Linked DNA regions of Macaca mulatta. The protein of the gene in region 2 purifies or fractionates together with the protein of the main gene of each other region. This does not show direct contact. Links are inferred from orthologs where the notes say so. Each region holds a gene or a part of one and is shown on either strand. Other genes may lie near its edges.

Region 1 (7,945 bases), on a different chromosome or scaffold from region 2:
TGAGGTCAAGAGATCGAGACCATCCTGGCCAACATGGTGAAACCCCATCTCTACTAAAAATACAAAAATTAGCTGGGTGTGGTGGCATGTGCTTGTAGTCCCAGCTACTCGGGAGACTGAGGCAGGAGAATCACTTGAACCTGGGAGGCGGATGTTGTAGTGAGCCAAGATCACGCCACTGCACGCCAGCCTGGGGACAGAGTGACACTCAGTCTCAAAAAAATAAAAAACAAAATATGGCTCTGCACAATTTTTGTTACAGTTATTTTGGGATTTTCAAATAGTATTTTTGTTGCATATATGATAGAATTCTTAAAATTACAATTTCTGATTATTACGACGTTTAAAGTTAGTTGAATTCATAATGATGAATAAAGCCACATGTGAGTTAAGTCTCATCCCTTGCACTGTTTAAGAGTGGAGAGTGGGATGTGAGCAGGAGTGCCTGATAAGGAGGCAGTGGGAGCTGATGCTAAAGAGCCTTGGGTAATGGTAAGGAGCTTGCATTATTCTTGGAATCAAACCTTCCAACACAAGGAAGGGAAGTGAGATCATTAGGTTTGTTTTTTAAAAACATCTTTCTTGTAGCATTTTACTGAGTGATTTGGGCTTGGGAAAGGTCAGTGGCAGGGCACCTGTTAGGTCATTATTGCAGTATTTCAGGTGAGAGATAAAAAGTCTGAGCCCAGGCAATAGCAGTAAGAAAAATGGGAGTGGTAAGGATGGGGGAGGGGAGCAGTAAACCGAGGGGAGGGTAAGGAACAGGTCTCAGGTAAAAGCAACAGTCCTGGGTGACCAGTTAAACATTGGGGGAGAGGAAAAGAAAGGAGATGAAGTTGCCGCCAGAAAGAGTGGCCTCAGGAGAAACAGATTGTACGGGGATGGGGATGGGGTGGGATGGGCAGAATATATCAGGGAAAGAGTATCCTTGGTATTGGTTTGGTACAGGTGAGTGGGCCTGAATGACAGTCACGGAAATCCCAAAACATGATATAAAAACTAATGAAATTTGAAAGGTAATAAACATGAAAGAAATGAAAAATTTGGATTTATGGGGGATTTATTTGGCTTCTATTGGGGAATGATTAAGACTGAAGCTAACTACTTGGAAGTTATTGGCATAAAAATGGTATGTGAGGCCAAAGGAAAGGGTGAGGTGAGCCCAAGTAGAGAGGCCAACTTTAAACAACAACAGAAAAACAAAGAAATAGGACACAGAGTTAAATTTGAATGTCAGTTATATGATGAATAATTGTTTAGTGTATTCCATGTTTGGACGTGTTTAAGACATACTCGTCCTAAAAATTATGTATTATTTATCTGAAATTCAAATTTAACTGGGCACCATGTATTTAATCTGGCAACCATAACAGGGACAGGACACAGAAATATCGGCAAGGACCAGGCAGGCCTTTCAGATGGTGAGGTGATGTGTGAGACACAGGCCGCTGGCGGAGGCTGGGTGACCCAGAACACCTGTCGCTCATTCTCAGGAGCAGCTGCTACCTACTTCCCACTGATTGGGTTTGCAGAGATGGCCTCGAGGGTGTCTGATATTCTGATATTGCAAAACAGAACAAAAATATGTATTTTAATGTGTATTTAAAATGTATATATATTAAAATATTTTTAATATTGATATTAAAAGTGGTCAATTGGGCTGAGTGCAGTGGCTCATGACTGTAATTCCAGCACTTTGGGAAACTGAGGTGGGAGGATGTCTTGAAGCTAGGAGTTTGAGACAAGCCTGGGCAACATAGCGAGTCCCCATCTCTACAAAAATAAATAAATAAATAAATAAATAAGTCAGGTGTAGTGACTCATGCCTATAATCCCAGCTACTTAGGAGGCCGAGGCAAGAGGATTGCTTGAGCCCAGGAGTTTGAGGCTGCAGTTAACTACGATAGCACCACTCCACTCCAGCTTGGGTGACAGAGTGAGACTCTGTCTCTATTTAAATAAATACGTAAATAAATAAGCTGGGCAAACAATGAAAATGAAAACATTGTGAAATACAAAGCAGTTCTGTGGGTTCCACTGTTTGCAGCCTCTGATCTAATTTCTAAAGAGGGTGTAGCAGGTTTTTTAACCTGTAAATTATGGTGATTGGCAGGTCAGGGTAAATGGTAGTTGTGTGTGGGGAAGCGATGATGGCAACAGGTGTTTTCCTCCTGCAAAAACGAAAATGTGGGAGTGACTTCTCTGGCCATGGCTCCATGGTCTCTCCCCTCAGAGCCAATTTCAGTAAAATTTTTATAGTTTAAAAAATATGGTTCTGAACAATTTTTGTTAGAGTTATTTTGGTATTTTTAAATAGTTTTTTGGTCGTATACATGGTAGAATTCTTAACATTATACAATTGTAATGTATAAAAAAGGATACAATTATAATTCATAAAATTATAGCCCCACTGGCCATTCTCCTGTAGCTGGGAGCAGTTCACGCCAACAGGGCTCTACCCCAATGCTGACCTGCTCTACAGGATCCCAGGAAGGTGAGCATAGCCTACCAACCTGTTTGGGTAGTACAGCGATAGCAACTGAGGCTTCCAAGGCTTTCGTCAGAAGATTGTGGGCGGAAACTTCCAGGGGTTTGCTCTGAGCTTCTTGAGGCTTCTCAGCTTCAGCTGCAAAGTGAGTGGGTGTTTCTTTGAGAAGCAGAATCAGAGAGAGACATAGAGAAAGAGAAAGACAGAGGTGTTTCCCTTAGCTATGGAAACTCTATAAGAGAGATCCAGCTTGCCTCCTCTTGAGCAGTCAGCAACAGGAGTCCTGTCCTTGACACCTCAGCCTCTACAGGATTGAGAAGTAAAACCGTTTGCTGGGGCTGGCCTGACTCACCGGCTGCCATGCAGCAGCCCTTCAATTACCCATATCCCCAGATCTACTGGGTGGACAGCAGTGCCAGCTCTCCCTGGGCCCCTCCAGGCACAGTTCTTCCCTGTCCAACCTCTGTGCCCAGAAGGCCTGGTCAAAGGAGGCCACCACCACCGCCGCCGCCGCCGCCACTACCACCTCCACCGCCACCACCACTGCCTCCACTACCGCTGCCACCCTTGAAGAAGAGGGGAAACCACAGCACAGGCCTTTGTCTCCTTGTGATGTTTTTCATGGTTCTGGTTGCCTTGGTAGGATTGGGACTGGGGATGTTTCAGCTCTTCCACTTACAGAAAGAGCTGGCAGAACTCCGAGAGGTAAGCCTGCTGGCAGACTGCTGTGCCCTGGAGGCACCAGGCATAAGGGGGTGGAGGGCCCACTGCCTGGCTTGCAAAGTGCTTTTCAATCCTTTTTTTTTTTTCTTAGAAATGGGTTGTTCTAGTTATTCTATTCTATAGGCAGAGAAATGGAGGCTCATAGGAGTGAAGGGAATATTTTTTATTTTGTAAAGAATCAGAGCCCAACAGTTTTTCTTTCCTCAGTTGTCAACTCAGTCTGTTGAACCACTTACTGCCTCATACCTAGTGATTTAAGGAGTAAAAAACAAACAAAACTTTTAAGTTTTGCTTGGAAGTAAATTTGTTCAGATGACCAAACTAAATCTTGAAAATACTTAAAATACTGGTACGATTTCAAATCACAAAACTGAGGGACAGTGAAGCAAAATTGCTTGACCAAAGCCTGAGTCAGCAAAAGTTCTGAGGTATTTGGATTCTCTTTCCAGGGCTTGGTTTATTTGACGATTCTGTCTCTTTTGCTTAAATAATTTTATTTTTATTATGCATCTTTTTTCTTTCTCTTTTACTAGTCTACCAGCCAGAAGCATACAGCATCATCTTTGGAGAAGCAAATAGGTGAGTCCTTTTTCACATGTACATTGAGTTCCTAAAGATGATCCTCAGCACTGAAATATGTTAATGGAATGCCTTATATTCTGTCCTACACTTTGGCTTATGTATACTATGAGAGGAATCCTGGCTAATTCGGAATCTCTGGTCAGTATGATTCCTTGAGCTGCTTTATAAATGTGAAGTGAATTGAATTGCTCACAATCAATATAGCTGAGCACGGCACACAATTCAAAATCACTTCCGCTTGACTTTGGAAAGAGACACACATATACAACCGTGGACTTTTGCCCCCTGAGCAGTGGTTCCAGGCCTGTCCCCTTCCACAGACACCCTGGTCCTGGCACACATGCCAGTGGCTATGACTTCTGGGAAGAGAAGGCGAAGTGAAGGCAGAGACAGATGTTTCTGAGAAACGTCCTCTCCTCTTTTAAAGCCTCTAAAGAGATTACAGTGAAACTTTATTTACAAAATGTTTTATAGGACGTAAGCTTTTAAAATGTGGCTAATCAATTCCGTACATTAGAATGGTTTTTCTTGAAGTCACTGAGAAGCTGAAGGGAAGACTTCAGCCATCATTCAAAGGATGTTCAGCTTCAGAGGCAGTCATGAGGTACCCTTGATCACAAAGGAAAATCCTTTGTATGGGAGCTAGGGCAAGAAGACGATATGTTGGAACACTGATCTCGTGAAATTTCAGGGCATAGTTTTGCAAGCTCTGTACAGATGGATTTTACAATGTGCTTCACTAGCCTAAGATTCATTGAAATTTTAGATTTAGATTTACAATGAGATTCACTGAAGGTTTAGAGTTGGAAGGAAGCTTAGAATATCCAGTCCAGCCATTTCATTTTTTTGGAAGAGAAACAAAATGCCAGACGGATTAGGTGAATATGCCCAAGACCCCTAGTATGGAACTGGGGCTAGAAGGAACACAGGCTCTTGATGCCTTGTCACCTACAGGGCTTTCCGGTACTGGACTGGTGCCTCATGAAGTAGGGAAACTCCTGTCTCTCTGTAGTGAGCATGGAGTGAGAAATAGAGGAAAAGCAGGATACCTCTGCAAAGACTATAGATAGATCGCATCCTTAGAAACTCAGAATAAAGAAGAAGGCAGCACTGGCCATCTATTAAGTGAAGTAAGTTTCAGTTTCTCTGGATGTGGCTACTGCAGGCAACCCAGTCGCCTGTCTACTGTCCTAGACTGTTAAGTTCTTATAGGAGCCACTGTTGGGAAGCTCTGGCCCCTGAGTCTGTGTCCTAATCCTTAAATGTTAGAAAGTCCATATGTACACAAGCAGAGTGGAAATATTTGCTAGAAAAATAAAGCCTCTGGAGGATGTCTCAAATAAGATCATTTTGAAAACCTGTGGAATGTGCCTGGTCTGATAGGTACCTAAGCATTCATCTTTTACCTCCTCTCTGGAGTCAATTTAGTGATTAAAAATCAAATGACCAGACGAGTCATGTCCATCTACCCCAGTAAGCAATTATCTTCTCTAGATCAACCCAGATGAACCAGAAATTGTTAAATTATCACAAGGAAATCAAATCAGTAACTTTACTAATAAGAAAAGAGATGCAAACTAAAAATAGGGAACACCAATTTTCATCAAATTAGTAAAGTTAACAAAAACCCAGACTGACAAAGATTTGAAAGAAAAGTGCTGTTTAAACATTAGTTTCAGCCAGTATACATGTAAATTGCTATAACTTTTTCTGAAGAGCACTTTAGAAATACATATCAAAAGCTTGAAACTAATAGTTTATGTTGTAATCCTATCACTAAGAATTTCTCTTAAGAAAATAATCAGAGATGTGCCTGAAGATTTATATATAAGGATGTTCATTACTCCCTTATGAGCCTATTTATAATAAACAATCCAGAAGAAACTTGAATGCCTCATACTAGATTAGTTATATACATTATGGTGTATTGAAACAAGCACATAATAAGCAGCAACTAAAAATGATGTATCAGAAGGACATTTAATGCCTTGGGGATTGTGCAGTGTGTATTGTTAGATAAAAAGACAAGTTACAAAAGGATATATTTCGTTTCATACTGACTATGTAACCATGTATGCACGTTTTTATATTCTTAGGAACTAGAAGGTTCTACACACTGACATACTAACAGTGATTTTCTCTGGGAGATACTACTATAGATTATTTATACTTTCTAACTTGTTCCTTTTTACATTTTCCATTTTTTTCCAGTTAGCTAATTAAATCTTTTATTCATTCACATGCGTGAGGCTAGATGTTGGGTGTTGGACGCTGATCGAGGATGAGCCAGCCCAGGGGACCTGTCCTTATAGAGCTTTTAGCATGGTGAAGAAGCTAAACAAAAGCAAGCAAACAGACCATACAATTCCAAAGTTGTACTAAGTATAAGCTGAGAATCCTTTTTAAGGAGGTGTTTATGCTGACACCTGGGGGGTCAGAAGCCTGATGAGCGAAGGGCTGTGTGCATGTGCTGTGGAGTGGGGTGGGGCTGGGGGAGAGCATTTCAACACTGGGAACGGCACATGCAAAAACCCTGGGGCAGGAAGCACTCATCACCAGTGTCTAAGGTATCTCTGCAGTTTATTTATTCCAGCATATGTACAGCAGATATTCTTAGTGAGCATGTTCTGTAAAAATAATGTTGTACTAGGCTCTGTGAGGGATAAAAAGATATGCAACATGTGGTTCTCGGTTCTGTTTCCTGCCGGTGCATGGCTGAATGCCAGATGAGTCGCGCGGGTGGTTTGCGGTGTAGGAATGCAGAAGAGACTCAGTTTTGCCTTTCCTGTTCACTAACACCTCCTTCATGGTGGGTTGTCTTGGGTGACCAGAGAGATCATGATCGCTCAGGTAATGTTCTCTGTGAATTGGGCCATTCTCACACCATACGTGAGTTTTACAGGCTAATCACGAACCTGACGTATTCAAGCATCTCGTGTGAATATTTATTGAGGTCTCAGTTAGCTGAATGCGTTAGCTAAGTGGCAGCTGTCTATCTTGTCTGAAATAGTTGAAGTCAGAGAAATAGTGTCTGTTTTGAGAACTACTGTCTATTCTTCCATTTAATTTATCTGACATTTGCTAGTAACATGCCCTGTGTTAGGAACTGGGCTTCTCTGGTGAATTCAACATATCGTAAGGAACTTGTCATTATTTGAGCGGAATAAGATAATTTATGTAGTTACCCCAGAGAAGAGGAGTCAGAAATGACAAGAGAGGGGAAGACAGAATGATCCTAGATTTCAAAAGAGGGGAAGATCATATTTGATCAAAAAAGGTTTGAGAGGGTTTCCCAAAGAAAGAGGTATAGTCCTTATGGGATGTTTAGGAATTTGACACAGAAATCTGTTTGAAAGAACATTATGGGCAAAAGGCATGGCATGAACAAAGGCACAGAGGAAGGGAAGTGGGGGTACGTGTAGGCCACAGAACTCCCGTTGTGTGGCAGTGCTCAGTGGGAGTAAGGAGATAAGGCTGGACAGATGGGCTGGGCTTGTGTGATGGGGAGACTTGTATACAACTGCATCTTCAGGAAGGAGCCATTAAAGGTGTTTGAGGCCTCAGTGATATGAGGTAATTGTCTGAGGACTTAAGATACTTAATTTGGGGAAGATTGTAAAATGTCCCTGGGGGAAGATCTGGTGACACGCAGATAGATTAGTGGTCTTCTTCAGTCTCTTTCCTGTAAGTCTTAGGGACAAGAGAATCAGAGTGGACAGAGCCCTGGAATTGGAGTCAGGAGACCAGGGTGTGGTCCCATCTCTGATGCTGACTAGTTGGATTAGTCACCCAACTTCTAAGCTCATGTTGCAATTGATAAGGGGTGGGACAATACATACCTCAAAGGGTTGTGGTGAGTTCTAAATGCAATAACTGACATGACAGCTCATTATGAATAAACGTTTATATTAATTATATTTTATTGTAACATTATAATTTATGCATGTGTCAATCTTAATTTGGTTTATTTTTTACCTCTTTGTTTCTGAAATATAGACCACGGTGAATCCCGCAGTTCAGACTTACATGATTAGTATATGTTAGACTGTTGCCATTTATGGTTTTAAAATCTTTTTTTTTTAAATGATGGGATTTAAATTCCCACCAAAATAATAGTTGGTATTTCATTTTAACATATATTTTTCCTCTCTC
Region 2 (7,345 bases):
AAAGGTGGGAGGAGTGACTGCATTTTTCAAAAGTCTCGATGGCATAAAAGAGGAAATTAAATGTCATAACAGCTGTGGAAATGTTCAAGATTAAAGGAGACTAGGCCGGGCATGGTGGATCACGTCTGTAATCCCAGCACTTTGGGAGGCTGAGGAGGGCAGATCATTTAGGTCAGGAGTACGAGACCAGCCTGGCCAACATGGTGAAACCCCATCTCTACTAAAAATACAAAAATTAGCCGAACATGGTGGTGCACACCTGTAATCTCAGGTACTTGGGAGGCTGAGGCATAAGAATTGTTTTAACCTGGGAGGTGGAGGTTATAGTGAGCCGAAATCATGCCACTCTACTTCAGCCTGGGTGACAGAGTGAGACTCAGTTTAAAAAAAAAAATGATTAAAGGAGACTAAAGGATCATGACAACTAAATACAATATTGTATTGCATTATATTGTATTTTTAATTTTTATTATTTTCTTTTAGAGAGGGTCTCACTATGTTGCCCAGGCTCACCTTGAACTCCTGGCCTCAAGTGGTCCTCCCACCTCGGCCTCCCAAAGTGCTGGGATTACAGGTGTGAGCCACCACACCCAGCCTTGTGTTGTATTTATATAGGATCCTATGTGGAATTTTGTACCACATGGTTTAAAAACTGTCAAGGACATTATTGGGTTCAACAGACAAAATTGGAATATGGACCATTGATTTGATAAAAGTATTATATTAGCATAACTTTACTGGCATTGATAATTGTGTCATAACTCTGTAAAAGAATATCCTTTTTTTTTTTTTTTTTTTTTTTTTTTTTGAGACGGAGTCTCGCTCTGTCACCCAGGCTGGAGTGCGGTGGCCGGATCTCAGCTCACTGCAAGCTCCGCCTCCCGGGTTCACGCCATTCTCCTGCCTCAGCCTCCCGAGTAGCTGGGACTATAGGCGCCCGCCACCTCGCCCGGCTAGTTTTTTGTATTTTTTAGTAGAGACGGGGTTTCACCGTGTTAGCCAGGATGGTTTCGATCTCCTGACCTCGTGATCTGCCCGTCTCGGCCTCCCAAAGTGCTGGGATTACAGGCGTGAGCCACCGCGCCCGGCCAAGAATATCCTTATTATTAGGAAATACACACCAAAATATTTAGGAGTAGGCCGGGCGTGGTGATTCATGCCTGTAATCCCAGTACTTTGGGAAACTGAGGCAGGCGGATCACGAGGTCAGGAGATCCAGACCATCCTGGCTAACATGGTGAAACCCTGTCTTTACTAAAAAATACAAAAAATTAGCCGGGCATGGTGGCGGTCGCCTGTAGTCCCAGCTACTCAGGAGGCTAAGGCAGGAGAATGGCGTGAACCCAGGAGGCAGAGCTTGCAGTAAGCCAAGATCACGCCACTGCACTCCAGCCTGGAAGACAGAGCGAAGACTCCATCTCAAAAAAAAAAAAAAAAAAATTTAGGAGTAAAAGGCCACTTATACTTACTCTCAAAAAGTTCAGAATGTATGCAACTTACTCTCAAAAAGTTCAGAAAAAAATTATGTGTGTGTGGAGAGAGAGGGAGAGAGAGCAAGTGTGAGTGAATGCACAAAAATAATAAAGCAAATGGGGTAAAACACCAACAACAGGTAGGTAAATCTAGGAAAACAGTACATAGGTATTCTTTGTATTATTCACATTCTTGCAACTTTTCTATAAAATTGAAATTATTTTTAAATCTAAAAATTGTAACTGTAAAAATATCAGACCATGACAGTAGTAAAGAAGACATAAAATAATTTTTAAGAATAAAAAATAAAGGCCAGGCACAGTGGCTCACACCTGTAATCCCAGCACTTTGGGAGGCCAAGGTGGGCATATCCCTTGAGGTCAGGAGTTCGAGACCAGCCTGGCCAACACAGTGAAACCCTGTCTCTATTAAAAATACAAAAATTAGCCAGGTGTGCTGGTGCATGCCTGTAATCCCAGCTGCTTGGGAGGCTGAGGCAGGAGAACCGCTTGAACCTGGGAGTTAGAGGTTGCAGTGAGCCATGATCCCACCACTGCACTCCAGCCTGGACGATGCGTGAGACTCCGTCTCAAAAAAAAAAAAAAAAAAAAAGGATTAAAAATAAAACTTCTACAAACAACTGAATTAGAAAATGAACAAAGGACTTAGACATTTCTCTAAAGAAGATATACAAATGGCCAAAAAGCACATGAGAAGATGCTCGACAGCCCTAGTCATTAAGGAAAGCAAATCAAAACCACAAGGAAATAGGGCCTCACTTCCATTAGGATGCCTACTATCAAAAATGAAAGAAAATAATACGTCTTGGTGAGGAAGTGTTTCTGAGGATGTGTGCACAGTTGGTGGAAATGTAAAATGGTACAGTCACTGTGGAAAATAGAATGAAGGTTCCTCAAAAAATTGAAAATAGAATGACTATATAATCCACCATTTCCACTTATGGGTACAAACACAAAAGAATTGAAAGCAGCATCTCAAAGAGATATTTTTACACCGACATTCATAGCAGCATTATTAAAAATAGTCAAAAGGTGGCAGCAGCCCAAGAGTCCATCAATGGATGAGTGGATAACAAAATGGAGTACAGTAAGTCCTCACTTAGAGTCATCAGTAGGTTCTTGGTAACTCCGACTTTAAGTGAAACAATGAACTGTATGCTATAGAAACTTAACTCTTAGGGTTTTTTGTTATCGTTTTTTGAAACAGGGTCTCCCTTTGTCACCCAAGCTGGAGTGCAGTGATGCAATCTCAGCTCACTGCAACCTCCACCCCCCAGGTTCAAGCTATTCTTGTGCCTCAGTCTCCCAAGTAGCTGGGATTACAGGTGTGCGCCACCACGCCCGGTTAATTTTTGTATTTTTAGTAGAGATGGGGTTTCACCATGTTGGCCAGGCTAGTCTCGAACTCCTGGCCTCAAGTAAGCCGCCTGCCTTGGCCTCTCAAAGTGCTGGGATTGGAGGTATGGGTCACCATGACTGGCCAACTCTTGATTATATCAATTAGCCTATGGTGAAATTGGTTTCATTATGTAGTATGTGGCTGGGCGTGGTGGTACATGGCTGTAATCTCAGCACTTTGGGAGGGTAAGGCGGGAGGATTGCTTGAGCCCAAGAGTTTGAGATCAGCCTGGACAACAAAGCGAAACCCCACCTCTACAAAAAAATTTAAAATAAAAATAAATACATTATACAGTATGCTATCACTTAAAGTCAGTTTCCAAAAATCTATCAACCTTGTAAATGAGGACTTACTGTATATACACACAGTGGAATATTATTCAGCCTTTAAAAAGGAAGGAAATTCTGAGATATGCTACAACTTGGATGAACCCTGAAGACTTTACACTAAGTGAAATAAGCTAGTCACAAAAAAACAAATACTGTATGATTCTACTTATATGAGGTACCCTGAAAAGTCAAATTTATAGACAGAGAAAGTAGAACCGTGGTTTCCAGGGGTTGGAGGGAAGGAGAAAATGAAAAGTTATTGTTTAATGGGTACAAAGTTTTACTAAAAGATGATTAAAAAGTTCTGGGATGGATGGTGGTAATGTCTGCACAACAATGTGAAGGTGTTTAACATTACTGAACTGTATACTTAAAATTGATTAAGATGGTAAATTTTGTTACGTGTATTTTACCACAATTGAAAACAAAAAACAAAAAATTTCCCAGACCAAGCTAACTCATTGATGCTGACAGATGTTGGCAAAGAAATTACCCAAGTCTGCTGGAGGAACCACAGATCCCAGGGAAGACTGTCACATATCTCCCAAGGATCATGATCACATTGTGAGGAACAGATTGCAAATTCTCCCAACGTTTCCCCTTCCACCCGTCCTTTCAGAGCGGAGCACCACAGAAACCAGAAACCCTTGCCCTCTGGGTTGTCCAGCTACATGCTTGGCAAACCTCTTGTTCAATACAGTAAGAATTTCAAAACAGTAACAGCAGAACATTAAACAAAGCTCTGTACTTGAACTCTGGAATTACTATCAGGCACCCTGTACTCCATAGATTATATGTCCCTAAAGCTGGCTCTAATTGCATCCCACAGATAAGAACAGAGGAACCATTTCAGAGCAACTCAAGGGTGTGTGGAGTCAGTTCAGACTAACTAGTGAGAGCTCAAACTAACTAGTTCTCACTAGCCGGCTAGTGTCAGTCAATTGTTAAATTTTCAGAAAATGTGCACTCTGGTTGATATCATGTTGTTTACTTGCAATCACCATGGCGAGAGCATTTACAGTAAATGGTACAAACCGGAGCCAATCTCTCTTTTTCTTTTTGGGGGGGTGGGAGGGGGGGTTGGAGGGTGGAGCCGGTTGTTAAACATTGACCAGCACACCACTGAACCTACCGGTAAGGCTTCCAAGAATGTTTTAATGTCTGTTTGGGAAACTAGTTCTTCCTCTCCTTGATACAATGACTCAGCTTCCTTGTCTACAGGAGGTGTCGCTATCTGGGCAGCTGAAAATAAAATCACAGACAGGAAAATAAAAATTACCTTCTGACTAGTAGCAATCCAAAATAACCAGCCATCAAAAGCAGCCATCAAAAATAATTATTTTGAAGAGAATTGTAAATTTTTTTTTTTTTTTTGAGTCAGGGTTTCGCTCCTGTTGCCCAAGCTGGAGTGCAATGGCATGATCTCGGCCCACTGCAACCTCTGCCTCCCAGGTTCAACCAATTCTCCTGCCTCAGCTTCCTGAGTAGCTGCAATTACAGGCACGCCACCATGCCCGGCTAATTTTTTGTATTTTTAGTAGAAATGTGGTTTCACCATGTTAGCCAAGCTGGTCTCGAACTCCTGACCTCAGGTGATCCACCCGCTTCGGCCTCCCAAAGTGCTGGGATTACAGGCGTGAGCCACTGCGCCCAGTCTGAGAATTGTAAATTTCTCATTGCATTTGCTTATGGAAGCCTACATATATACCCAGAAAAAAAAATGTGTAAATTTATAAATTATTTTTATTCCTTGTATTGTTTTATTTTCTTTTCTATTGTTTTTGTTATTTTATAATTTTATTAGTTCCTTAAAATTACTATATATTTACTAAATCGTATTTCAAAACTTATTGTTGTTTTAAGCTGCTAAAAAAAAAAAGTTATAGTGCTTAATGTACCAGATAATTGCCAAGTAGAGATTTCAAAAGCATTGTCTCAAAAAATAATATCAGAATTCAGGCTATAATAGCGAACAAAGAAAGAAGGAAAGGAGGGTAAAAAGAATGTAAGAAAAAAGAAAATCCATTTAAAAGTGGTAATTATATAAAAATGTTATAGCCATAAAATGATTTCTAAGGGACCATTAATAAAAACGATCTATATCTGTATTATTAATATATTCATGAAAATGTCAGCTATGGCCGGGCATGGTGGCTCATGCTTGTAATCCCAGCACTTGGGAGGCCGAGGTGGGTGGATCACTGGAGGTCAGGAGTTCAAGACCATCCTGGCCAACATGGCAAGACTCTGTCTCTACTAAAAATACAAAAATTAGCTTGGCGTGGTGGCAGAGACACCTGTAATCTCAGCTACTCAGGAGGCTAAGACAGAAGAATCGCTTGAACCTAGGAGGCAGAGGTTGTGGTGAGCCGAGATCGTGCCATTGCACTCCAGCCTGGGCAACAAGAGCGAAACTTCATCTCAAAAAAAAAAAAAGTCAGCTATATTATGTGGGGGGAAAAGCAAGTTTTAGAATATGATTAGCATGGTCTTTGTTAAAAATATACGTGTCTCTGTGTGTGTGTGTATGTAATATCTCTGTACACTTACAATTGTTTCTATATAGAAGGAAATCAATAAGTATATATTCCAAACAGTGGTTATCTTTGGGAAATGGGTTAGTAATAGAAAAAGAAGAAAAGGAGAAAGACTTTTACCTTCTACACTCTATGTTGCTTTAATTATTTGAATTTTTATTTAATTTTATTATAATTATGTACCTTATTTTAATAATAAATTAAAAATACTAGGCTGGGCGAGGTGGCTCATGCCTGTAATCTCAGGACTTTGGGAGGCCAAGGCAGGTAGATCACGAGGTCAGTAGTTTGAGATCAGCGTGGCCAACATGGTGAAACCTTGTCTCTACTAAAAATACAAAAATTAACTGGGTGCGGTGGTGCATGCCTGTAATCCCAGCTACTCGGGAGGCTGAGGCAGGAGAAGAATTGCTTAAACCTGGGATGGGGAGGTTGCAGTGAGCTAAGACCGTCCCACTGCACCACAGCCTGGGGAGAGTAAGAGTCTGTCTCAAGAAAATACCAAAGCAAACACCAAGGCTCAAGATAACTTAGAAAGTTAGCCAGGTGGTCCTTAAACAAAGCCAGTGTCCTCGCTTGGACTTTGGATCACACACACTTACAGGAAAGTCTAAACTCTGCACACCTACTCTTTTCAGTCCTTTAGACTTTCATCTTAACAGCAGAACTAGGCTCAAACTCTTAGAACTAAAGAAAGTCAATATTAAAATATCAATAATGATTGACACCCAAAAGAGATCACATACAGGTAGGTTATAGAAAAGAAAAATCAAAATTAGAATTCTGCTGATATAAAGCTCAGTCCTGGGCCAGGCTCAGTGGCTCACGCCTATAATTCCAGCACAGATCACTTGAGGTCAAGAGTTCAAGACCAGCCTGGCCAACATGGTGAAACCCTGTCTCCATTAAAAATACAAAAATTAGCTGGGCATGGTGGCAGGTATCTGTAATCCCAGCTACTCAGGAGGCTGAGGCAGAAAAATCGCTTGAACTTGGGAGGCGGAGGTTTCAGTGAGCCAAAATCATGCCACTGCACTCCAGCCTGGGTGACAGAGCAAGACTCCATCTCAAATAAAAATAAAAATAACAAAGCTCAGGCCAGGCACGGTGGCTCACGCGTGTAATCCCAGCACTTTGGGAGGCCGAGGTGGGCGGATCGCGAGGTCAGGAGATTGAGACCATCCTCGCTAACTCGGTGAAACCCCATCTCTACTAAAAATACAAAAATTAGCCGGGCGTGTTGGCGAGTGCCTGTAGTCCCAGCTACTCAGGAGGCTGAGGCAGGAGAATGGTGTGAACCCGGGAGGCGGAGCTTGCAGTGAGCTGAGATCACGCCACTGCACTCCAGACTGGGTGACAGAGCGAGACTCTGTCTCAAAAAATAAAAATAAAACAACAAATTTCAGTCTTCAAGACTCACTGAGGCAAATGTAATCAACTACATAGAAGCTAGTGTGTCTTCTTTAGAATTTAAGTATCCAAAATAATATGACCACTTGCCCTTTGTTTACTTCATATGGGATATGACATTACAGAAAAATGACAATGTGTTTAGAAAAAAACTCAGAGCTCATGTGAGGATTTGAA

The links.
Region 1: the proteins of CASP10 (region 2) and FASLG purify together in Homo sapiens (co-immunoprecipitation; 3 studies listed by BioGRID and IntAct, with this or other methods). This does not show direct contact. The link is inferred for Macaca mulatta from reciprocal best matches to the Homo sapiens genes CASP10 and FASLG.

What each region holds. Positions count from the first base shown.
Region 1 is NC_133406.1:30,154,629-30,162,573, forward strand, and holds the start of FASLG (tumor necrosis factor ligand superfamily member 6), read left to right. Parts: upstream 1-2,806; 5' UTR 2,807-2,848; coding exon 2,849-3,193; intron 3,194-3,744; coding exon 3,745-3,790; intron 3,791-7,945. UniProt on the Homo sapiens protein: Cytokine that binds to TNFRSF6/FAS, a receptor that transduces the apoptotic signal into cells. Involved in cytotoxic T-cell-mediated apoptosis, natural killer cell-mediated apoptosis and in T-cell development.
Region 2 is NC_133417.1:106,298,329-106,305,673, reverse strand, and holds part of CASP10 (caspase-10), read right to left. Parts: intron 4,464-7,345; coding exon 4,354-4,463; intron 1-4,353. UniProt on the Homo sapiens protein: Involved in the activation cascade of caspases responsible for apoptosis execution. Recruited to both Fas- and TNFR-1 receptors in a FADD dependent manner. May participate in the granzyme B apoptotic pathways.